Linked DNA regions of Saccharomyces cerevisiae S288C. Changing the gene in region 2 together with the main gene of any one other region gives a genetic interaction. Each region holds a gene or a part of one and is shown on either strand. Other genes may lie near its edges. The genes, in order: ACE2, CTK2 and CAK1.

Region 1 (3,761 bases), on a different chromosome or scaffold from region 2:
AAGTTTCTTGTTGATCGAATGTTCTAATTTCTTACCGCCGGTGCAAATCATCCGACTTCTATGCACCATTAGAGCATCCTCCCTATTAAATCTCTTTCCGCATGGGCAGATGTATTTCTTGGCATTATGGGAGATTTTGTGTCTTATTAAATCATGATTGCGAACAAACGCCTTGGTGCAACCGGGAAAGTCGCATGAATACGGTCTATCTTGCAAATGTGTCTGAATATGCGACCTTATGTTGTATCTACGCTTGAATACTTTGTTACAGTTAGGGTATAAGCACTCGAATAGTTTGTCGGGTAGTTCCTTGACGTACTGGTCAATGGTACCCGGAGGCAGAGTAGTTGGTTTCTTGGTTATTTTCATTGGCGTAGTCCTAGGTATTATTTCATCTGGTAAAGGAGACGTACTATGCAAAGTGGGGCTTTTGTGAATATCATGTGTGACAGGTGGTACTTGCGGATAGCTTTCCACTTCACAGTGACTGTTATTTCGTATGGGTGTCTTAATTTCTAACTGATGATCTGTTAAATCCGGTGCATTTAGAAGCGGAGCTAGGTTACTTCCGTTCTTTGGTGGAGCTTTGACGGGAGTATGTTGAAATACATGTTTTTGTGGCAAAGAATTCTTAATTGGAGTGTTATTGCTGGAACCAGGAATAGGAGGTAGTACACTTGATGACGCTAAAGCGTTTGCATTTCTTAATGTTGGGTTCTGGGTATTTCGCATGTGGATGGGTTCAGTGTCATCCTGCAGTTGTGATATTGTCGAGACCGTGGAAACTACGGATTCCCTTTTCTTGTGGATAGGTGACAACTGTGTTCTAGGCGTGAACGTGCCAGCAGCATATCGATCATCCCTGCTTTTATCTGTGCCGACGAGGAAGGGCGATCTCAAACTATTTCCATTTATCCTTGGAGAGATACTTAGCCCACCCGGGGAAGTCTTTTCGAACAGACGGAATATGTTATCACCAGTACTATTTTTTTTATCATTATTGTTTTTATCACTGGTGTTATTATGGTCATTATAAGTCAAGCCGTCCAAGTTTAAATTATAATTTTGTGGAGAAAATGAAAGCAGTTCAGAATCTCTCAAATAACCACTGTTAGAGGAAAAAAGGTTCAATCCATTACTTTCTGGGCTTTTATTTGGATATCGTTGCCTATGGTATTTCCTGGATGGTGAACCATTTATTGAAGTATTTGACATCCGAGGCGATATTAACGTCGGAGGAGGAAATTGATATCCGCCATTTGCAGAGTTCGTTGTGACGATTATAGCATTATCTTTCATTCTACCGTTTTGCATGGCAGGTGTCTTTAGTATTACTGGAGATCCAGGTTTGGAATTAGAATTTGTAGCCCCAGAAACCAACTTCTGCGCCACCTCTTCTTGCTCTTCTAATACTTTACGCAACTTTTCTTGCTGTATTTGATTGTCTCTCAACTGCTTCTCCAATTTTTCGTTCACTTCCTTTTGTTTTTCAAGAGCAATTCTTAACTCCTCCTGCTGTTTCAACAAAACTTGGCTCAAATAGCTATTTTCACCATCATTTTCCCTTATATGGTCAAAGTCATCATTGTTATTTTTTACCGTATTATGATTACCCAATTCATTTATGAGTTCCATGGGTTGCGGATCTTTAGACATATTTAGAATGGATTGCTGTAAACTGGAAATACTCAATGTCTTATTATGGCCGAGAAATCCAAATATCGCTGTGCCACTTAGACCTCTCTTGTGTGAGGACATTGATTTTTTGCTATAGTGGGAGACTTTGTTGTTTTCATCACCAAGGTTCCAAGTTCTATCAATATTCTTTTTATCAGAAGAACCATCGCCCGTCTTAGGAGAAGGCACTAAAGGAATATCCAGATCTCTTAACTCTTGAGTCAACAGGTCATCGATGTTATAGTAGTCCATACCTAACAAGTTATCGAGGCCATCATCGTTTTCATTATTCAAAATATAATTGTCGGGTGGGGGTATGGTAGGATTGACATTATCATGATGTTGAACATACTCCTCATCTTGAGTGTCTTTCGCGAAGCCTGAGGGATTTATATACCACGGATCTACAACGTTATCCATGATTGTATTAACACCGTTTTTGGTCCTATAGATTTCTTTAGTTATTTCTTGAATTTATGCCTTGTATTTTTTTCTTCTAGCACTTTAACTGTTGCTTGAGTCTCCCTGCAACGTAGCTTTTGTTTGCTAGGTACAATGCCGAGAGAGGTTGTTATAAGTTTATGTGTACTATAAAACCCTTAATGAAAGAAAAGGGACAGAAATATTGCGAGTAAACAAACAGTACTCCCTCCTTAATATTTGCCCGTTAATGGCTAAATGCTTTCTGGAGTTGATTTACTAGCTACAAGCATCCTTATCCTTTACCTGTAAACCAAAAGTGTCCTGAAATTTTCCCAAAGTGCCAATGTTTACATTTTGCCGTTTTGAGATATATATCGTATATTATGACAACCTTCACCTATCTGACGAGCCGCTCTCAGTGCCCCGGTATTTTTGGGCGGCTATTCCTATAACACTATTAGTTAAAAGGGATTCTAATGGAGTGACGGTTTTCATCACAATAGATAGAGTTAACTAAGAACTCTAGTTTGTATGCAAAGTCATTATTGAGTAGTAAAAGCGCCCCCATCGTCTCGTTTAATTGTTGATAACGTTTTAATGTGGCTTTTGAAGGGTTGCTAGCGATGGCAATTGAAACATGTAAATTTTGCCTACTTACAATTAAATCCTGATAGTTTGAAATGCCTGATTTCTGAAGTGCCTCAGCTATTATCGTTTTGAAAGGAGAAATTTGTGCCTTATTGGGACATTCTGAGACAGGGAGACCGAGGTACAAGGTGTTGGCTCGTTCTGATATATATAACTTCGGATATGAGCAGATTTGAAGTTTAAAAGGGGTTATTTCATTATTTCGTAAACCATTACGCATTTCTTGAATGAAAACATGTCTTTGTTCTTCAGTTTCAAACAACAACGATCGAGTTAAGGAAACGTGTAAAGGTTTGGGGGCTCCCAAGTGTGAGATGAACAACGGGTCAAAATCCACCAGTTGATACGGATTAGTGTATTCCTGTTTCATAAATGTTTCTTTATATTTACATATGATTTTCTGAAGTTGTCGGTGAATCGCTGGAGTCGGACGCCACTCAAAATATGTGAACGAACGCCAAAATCGACTCATATTCATATCCTGGTGCTCGTACTTTTGTAAATTCGGAGGGATGTGGTACTTCAATATAATTGAATCCGGTATTGCAGGTAAATCAGTGGAATCGGCTTTCTGTATGCAAGTTTTCTCCGTGTATTCGATTTGGACCTCACTTTTGTTACTACTTTCGCTCTCGGTATCACTACCGTCACTGCTAGAATAGTCTGCAGATATGAATTCCATAGGCCAGTCTTCTTCTAAGCGATTGGTAACCTCCTTCACTTTAGAACACCACCAACAGATCGTTCTCTTGTTCTTTGTTCTTTATGGTATAATATTCACATGGTGCTCTACCGTTTTTCTTGTCGGCCCAGCCGGTTAAATCTCGAAGAGACAGAATAGAAGCTCTGTGGCTGTAAGTAAGGATAAGCCAAATGGAAAAGTTATAGAATTAGGACAACAATATACAGTTTTTTTTTGTACTCTTATAGAATACACACACATAGATACGCACGTAAAATTAGAGCAAAAGATGGTACAAGAATCACGTCCAGGGAGTGTAAGAAGTTACTCG
Region 2 (3,633 bases):
TTAGATACGTTATGTTGGAGAACATGACTACCCGACGTCGCCATACTTGCACTGTCACTGTTAGTCATTGAACTGACATTTGAACCTCTTCTACTGCTTGAAGAAGATGTGGAGCCTAGCAGAAAGCTTTTTCTGTGCGAGCGTTTGCTATTGGGAACATCGGATGAATGTAATGTATTTTCTGATTGCGCAACAGCCTTTGGTCTAATCTGTTTATCTGCAATACCATTATTTATATCATGGACGGAAGAACCACGTACCAATGAGGACACTTTCCTTCGTAAAGTGCTTGGCACGTTATCAGCCAAGTGATTAGATAAAGTGGAGTCTTTAGAAGGTTTCCTATTAGCAGGTGCAGGATTTACCGTTGAAAGGGAAAGGTTAGCAACTTTACTTTCCTTTCCTGACTTATTGCCATCGTGACTGTTTGACCCTGAAAACCTTTTGAATAGGGTTTCCGCTAATGATGGCTTCCTATTGGGAAAAAACTGAACATGATGATGATCATGATGACCGTCATGATGGTTATGAGTAGATGTGTAGTTGTGCGTCTTGGATGAATTCAAAGCGTAACCGTGGTCTTTATTATCATCATGAGTACTATTCGCGCTCGTCATTGAAAGACTGCTCAATGTTTTCTTCAGTAAATATGGACCCCTTTTGATTTTCGGTTCTGTCGGCCTTGGATGTTCCACGTTCGAAATACTTACATCATCCATACCATTTGGAGTGATACTCTCCCTGCTTTTGGTCATAGAAAGCGACCGTGGGCTGTAATAACTATATGCGCTATTCCTTCTTGATTTGTGACCACTATTTTGTTCGTGACGCTTCTTGACTTTTGGTACCTCATCATGAATGCTTCTATCGTTTGCTTCCGTAGGTGAGCTCTGCTCTATCTGTTGTTCTTGTTCTTCCTGTCGCTGAGGGCCAGAAATTTCCGAACCAGTATCAGGTTTTGATGACATTTCGACCTAGGGATTTCGTTTGCTGTTGCTTTAGCTCGTTTCGCAATGGTTAGCGACAATAGTAAAGATATGCTATTTTTGGTTGTGAACTGCAGCAAGAGGTCTCCTTATGCTTTCTCTCCTCTGTTACTATACTTCCCAGCTGTCTTTACTGAACTTTGGAAGAAAATACACTTTTTTAGAGTCGCTTTTCTTATGGTAAGTCCCCCCTGCTTTCCTTCCAAAATACAAAAAAAAAAAAAAAAAAAAAGTAAGAAAAAGGAAGTGAAAAAATAAGGTTATGATTGAATATTTAGGTTTGATAGAGGAGAAAGTAAGGAAGGTCTCAGTTCAGTCTGCCATTCCAATTTGAAACATAGAATTTCAGTGATTAACAATGCAATTGAACAATTGAACACAGAGAAGAAGAAGAACGAGAACTGACTCTAAATCTGGCATTTTATCCTTTTTTATGGCTATTTACATTGGGAGCTAGGCGAAATGCATATTTGTTTACTTTCTGGCATTTACAAAATCATTTTTTAAAGGGTATGACCTACTCTAATGCGCTTTTCTGTAGAACAACGCAGGGAACGGTATTTGATGTTTTCAATGATGTATGACTTATATAACATCTATTTCCTAGGATTTTTAAATAAGATGGAGGGTTGGCCGAGTGGTCTAAGGCGGCAGACTTAAGATCTGTTGGACGGTTGTCCGCGCGAGTTCGAACCTCGCATCCTTCAGTATTTTTTGTCCTTATCTTTTTGCTGCACCGAAAGCACTCATGAAGTCTACGGCTTGATGCACACCGTTTGGGAACCTTTGCGATCCCACGTACCTAAATGGTCCTTTTCGGTACAACTTGCTGAAGAATCACTGTGTGGCGGGTAATGCTCTCTTTATACTTGCATTGCGAAAATCCGCGATGATCAAAAATCCAAACAAGTACTGTCCTGAAAGCCGTCTTTATACACATAGATATATATATATATATATATATATCTGTATCTATAGAGCGAGAGGAGATATAGAGCCAGCAAAACTAAGAAAATTACGTACTTTGATATGCCTAGCACGTTTGAATCCCAGCTTTTTTTTTCGAGACCGTTTCTGTCTAAAAGGCAAATTCAAAGAGCCCAAAAGAATACAATATCGGACTATCGAAATTACAACCAGAAAAAACTTGCCGTGTTCAAATTTCTAAGTGACTTGTGTGTTCAGCTGAAATTTCCACGGAAGACTTTAGAAACAGCAGTATACTTTTACCAAAGATACCACCTCTTTAATCGCTTCGAGACCGAGGTTTGCTACACTGTAGCGACAAGCTGCCTGACTTTGGGCTGTAAAGAAGTTGAGACAATTAAAAAAACAAATGATATATGTACTTTGTCATTACGATTGAGGAATGTGGTTAAAATCAATACGGACATTTTGGAAAATTTTAAAAAAAGGGTATTTCAAATAGAACTTCGGATATTAGAGTCATGCTCATTCGATTATAGAGTCAACAATTACGTTCATATTGATGAATATGTTATAAAAATTGGTAGGGAGCTATCCTTTGATTATAAGTTGTGCAATCTGGCTTGGGTAATTGCTTATGATGCTTTGAAGCTAGAAACTATTTTAGTCATACCCCAACATTCCATTGCATTGGCCATTTTGAAAATAGCATATGAATTACTAGATAATAAGAATTGGTCAAGTAAAAGGTATTCTTTATTTGAAACAGACGAGAAATCCGTAAATGAAGCTTATTTTGATATAGTCAATTTTTACATCAATTCATTCGATATGTGCGATCTACAACGTCATTTACCGGCTGATTTGCTGCCGATTGGCGTTGAAAGGTTTATGGAACTGAAAAAAAACGCAGGACCAGAATCTGGATTGCCGCAAATACCAGATCACCTGTTGAATGCCGATCCTTATATCACTATTACTAGAGATAATAATGTCCAAGAAAGAAGATATGTACTTTCACTGGAGCTAATTAATGGCGAGTCCAGCATAAATAGTTCTACAAGACATGCATAGAAAGTCCTACTATAAACTTAAATAAGATCATCATTATAAACTTTCTTTTACACAAGTAATAAGTACCTTTTTTTATCTCAAAACATGAATGTTGAGCTTCGAGGTTTAATTCACAAAAAAAGAAAATGTGCTCCAGGGGAGGTTCGAACTCTCGACCTTCAGATTATGAGACTGACGCTCTTCCTACTGAGCTACTGAAGCATACAAAGGATGTTGGGGAAGAAAAACAAACTTTACATCAAATATTTGCGGATTCCATGGTTATTAAAGGATATAGCACCGGGTATACAGGACATACTAGAAGTTCTCCAGGGGATCTTGTAATCCACAAAAGAGAATTGATATTTTCACATAATATTGTCATTATTGTTTCCCCAATTTATATGATATCATTCATTATTCTGTTACACTATCAGTCCTGGCATTTCAGCATCTATTAAATCTGATGACTGTTTTCTCAATCTTCATGCCATCTTGGTACATCGTACATGATAATATATTAGTAATATGAATACTATTCGATAGATTATAGTTGATCCTCATTAGGACATCTATCGTAACAATGGGAATGTTCATATCATACATTAATTTATACGAGTTGTTCAGACAGTAGTATAAGGCAAAGATCTTTTACTTGAAAGGTTAA
Region 3 (3,497 bases), on a different chromosome or scaffold from region 2:
CGAAGCAAATAGAAGCTAATTCTGATTTCTTCGAGAACGATTTTGACCTGCGCCATGGTGCTATACAAACAGTTTTACAGAAAAAACTGTATGATGAGGCGCTTTGGGAAGAAGTCTTGCAAATAACTAGAAAAGATGCGACTACTGCCAGCAAGAAGGCTTTGAAACGGGTGAGTCTTAATAAATATAGTGCATTACTCAATACAGCATGTGGAAAGCCAGGATGCTTCGATATGAGCACCATTATCTTCTATTTGAGCGAACAAACAAAGATGAACGAGCATTACAAGGAAGAAAAGTATCATGGTGTCGCCGCCAGATCCAAGACAAGGGCGTTGGTCCAAAGACTTGGCCATTTTTTACCCTCCAAATATAACAGGTGGAGCAAAATTTCTTTACTTATCGGGATTGTAGCTATCCTGTACCAATTACGGACTACAAGGTCGTTGAGTTTAGTACTCAATCTACGTTACATGATCTCCACAAAGTTGAAAGACTTATCACATATAAATATAAATTTGCACCACGTTAGTCACATCTGGGTGGATCCGATTAGGGACATTTTGAAACTGGGGCATCCAACTAGATAGCATACAATATACCTTATATACCCATGACATAGAAACAAACTCATATGTAAGGTATTATTATAAAGTGCTTCTTTAAAATTCGCTGCGGAAATTTCTTCGAGGATGACTCAAATAAGAAAAAACGAAAATTCTGAAAGAGAGATTTTTAGTATGGAGAAAACCAGTACTCCTGCATAAGATATCAAGATATTAGATAACTCTCAAGATGGTTTCCCAATTTGCTATTGAGGTGCGTAACCTAACGTACAAATTCAAAGAAAGCTCCGATCCGTCAGTTGTTGATATCAATCTTCAAATCCCATGGAATACAAGATCTTTAGTTGTGGGTGCCAATGGTGCTGGTAAATCCACCCTTTTGAAATTACTAAGCGGTAAGCATCTTTGCCTTGATGGAAAAATCCTGGTCAATGGTCTTGATCCATTCAGTCCATTATCTATGAATCAAGTGGACGATGATGAAAGTGTTGAAGATTCGACGAACTACCAAACGACCACTTATCTAGGTACGGAATGGTGCCATATGAGTATCATTAATAGGGATATCGGCGTCTTGGAACTATTAAAAAGTATTGGATTCGATCATTTTAGGGAAAGAGGTGAAAGATTGGTTAGAATCCTGGACATCGATGTACGTTGGAGAATGCACAGGTTAAGTGATGGACAAAAGAGAAGAGTTCAGTTAGCCATGGGGCTCTTGAAACCTTGGAGAGTTTTACTACTTGATGAGGTCACTGTGGATCTCGATGTTATTGCCAGAGCAAGACTTCTGGAGTTTTTAAAGTGGGAGACCGAAACCAGAAGATGCTCAGTGGTCTACGCTACACATATTTTTGACGGCTTGGCCAAATGGCCTAACCAAGTATACCATATGAAATCAGGTAAGATTGTGGATAATTTAGATTATCAGAAAGACGTAGAGTTCTCTGAAGTGGTCAATGCTAAAGTTAATGGACAAGTGGCCTTTGAAAATGACAACAATAAGGTTGTTATTAGTAAAGTGAATAGTTTGCATCCATTAGCACTAGAATGGTTGAAACGTGATAATCAAATTCCTGACAAAGAGATTGGTATATAACTGAGTATATATAACTGCAAAGACCCCCTGTATAGAAAATATGTATCTTAGTGGAAAATGTGATTTGACTATTTAAGTTATAGAAGTAGTTTGTGATCCTAAAAAAAGGAAAACGACAGAAGTCTCATAGAAGCAAAGAGGCCAGATGAAGAAGAGAGGCAACAAAATTCACGCCCATCTTAATGAAACTGGATAGTATAGACATTACACACTGTCAGTTGGTCAAATCTACTAGAACTGCTAGGATTTATAGGTCGGATACATATGCCATTAAATGTCTAGCACTAGATTTCGATATCCCGCCACATAACGCCAAATTCGAAGTATCGATATTAAACAAACTGGGCAACAAATGTAAGCACATCTTACCTCTTCTAGAGTCTAAGGCTACCGATAATAATGACCTATTGTTGTTGTTTCCCTTTGAAGAGATGAACCTTTATGAGTTCATGCAAATGCACTATAAAAGAGATAGAAGAAAAAAAAATCCCTATTACGATTTGCTAAATCCCAGTATCCCAATTGTTGCGGACCCCCCCGTTCAGAAATATACTAATCAATTGGACGTCAATCGGTATTCTTTGTCCTTTTTCCGGCAAATGGTTGAAGGGATTGCATTCTTACATGAGAACAAGATCATTCACCGCGACATCAAACCGCAAAATATCATGCTAACAAACAATACCAGCACCGTATCCCCAAAGTTGTACATAATTGATTTTGGCATCTCTTATGACATGGCAAATAACTCACAAACAAGTGCGGAACCCATGGATAGCAAGGTGACGGATATAAGCACAGGAATTTACAAGGCCCCAGAAGTGCTTTTTGGAGTAAAATGCTATGATGGTGGCGTGGACGTGTGGTCGTTGTTGATAATTATTTCTCAGTGGTTCCAGAGAGAAACAAGCCGTATGGGGCACGTTCCGGCCATGATTGATGACGGCAGCGACGACATGAACTCAGATGGAAGCGATTTCAGACTGATTTGCTCAATATTCGAAAAGTTGGGCATACCGTCCATTCAGAAATGGGAAGAGGTTGCGCAACACGGCTCGGTTGATGCATTTGTTGGTATGTTTGGTGCAGATGGCGATGGCAAGTATGTACTGGACCAGGAGAAAGATGTACAGATTAGCATTGTTGAGAGGAATATGCCTCGACTGGACGAGATTGCGGATGTCAAAGTCAAGCAGAAGTTCATTAATTGTATCCTGGGGATGGTTTCATTTTCACCAAACGAAAGATGGAGCTGTCAAAGAATCTTGCAAGAATTAGAAAAGCCATAATAAGAAGAATATATAGGTACATATATATATATATATATATATATGAAATGAAAAGTACGAGGGTAATCACTTTTTCCTCTGAAGAGCTAGTTTTATTAAGTCGAAGCAGTTCTTCATGTACGGTAAATTCTTGTTGCAAGCGGTCACACCCATATGTCCAATACGGATATACTTGGGTCCGATGTCCTTGTGAATACCTCCGGCAATGACTACACCGTGTGACTTTAAAAAAGCAATGACATCAGGAGGATCTGCTACGTATACGGCTGTCAACCCGTGCGCAGACATGTTAGAAGGATACCTACTGACGGATGTCAATTGCAAGCCATTAACCAAACTGTCTTTAAACCAATCACTCATTTCACGGTGCAAATCCCATCTCTTATGCAACCCCTCTTCGAGAATTTCTTTCAAGGCTACATCAAGGCTATTAATTAGTTGTACGGGTGGGGTTGCAAAATAAGCTCCTTTACCAGCCTCATAATTTTCCATTATTGGTGTCCATCTTCTCAACGAGGAAAAATACCCATGTACATGACCATT

What was found.
Region 1: of CTK2 (region 2) and ACE2, a mutation in one rescues a mutant of the other (synthetic rescue), as found in Saccharomyces cerevisiae (one study listed by BioGRID).
Region 3: mutations in CTK2 (region 2) and CAK1 together harm fitness less than expected from each alone (positive genetic interaction), as found in Saccharomyces cerevisiae (2 studies listed by BioGRID).

Annotation. Positions count from the first base shown.
Region 1 is NC_001144.5:404,726-408,486, forward strand, and holds the start of ACE2 (DNA-binding transcription factor ACE2), read right to left. Parts: upstream 2,098-3,761; coding exon 1-2,097. Other genes in the region: USB1 (phosphoric diester hydrolase), read right to left, coding at 2,558-3,430; bifunctional choline kinase/ethanolamine kinase CKI1, read left to right, coding at 3,720-3,761. UniProt on the Saccharomyces cerevisiae protein: Plays a role in regulating basal-level expression of CUP1. Activates EGT2 transcription in the absence of SWI5.
Region 2 is NC_001142.9:422,492-426,124, reverse strand, and holds CTK2 (Ctk2p), read left to right. Parts: upstream 1-2,015; coding exon 2,016-2,987; downstream 2,988-3,633. Other genes in the region: CYR1 (adenylate cyclase), read right to left, coding at 1-968; YJL007C (uncharacterized protein), read left to right, coding at 3,113-3,427. UniProt on the Saccharomyces cerevisiae protein: Cyclin subunit of the CTDK-I complex, which hyperphosphorylates the C-terminal heptapeptide repeat domain (CTD) of the largest RNA polymerase II subunit.
Region 3 is NC_001138.5:77,512-81,008, reverse strand, and holds CAK1 (cyclin-dependent protein kinase-activating kinase CAK1), read left to right. Parts: upstream 1-1,847; coding exon 1,848-2,954; downstream 2,955-3,497. Other genes in the region: GTPase-activating protein GYP8, read left to right, coding at 1-590; putative ATP-binding cassette family ATPase CAF16, read left to right, coding at 796-1,665; AGX1 (alanine--glyoxylate transaminase), read right to left, coding at 3,021-3,497.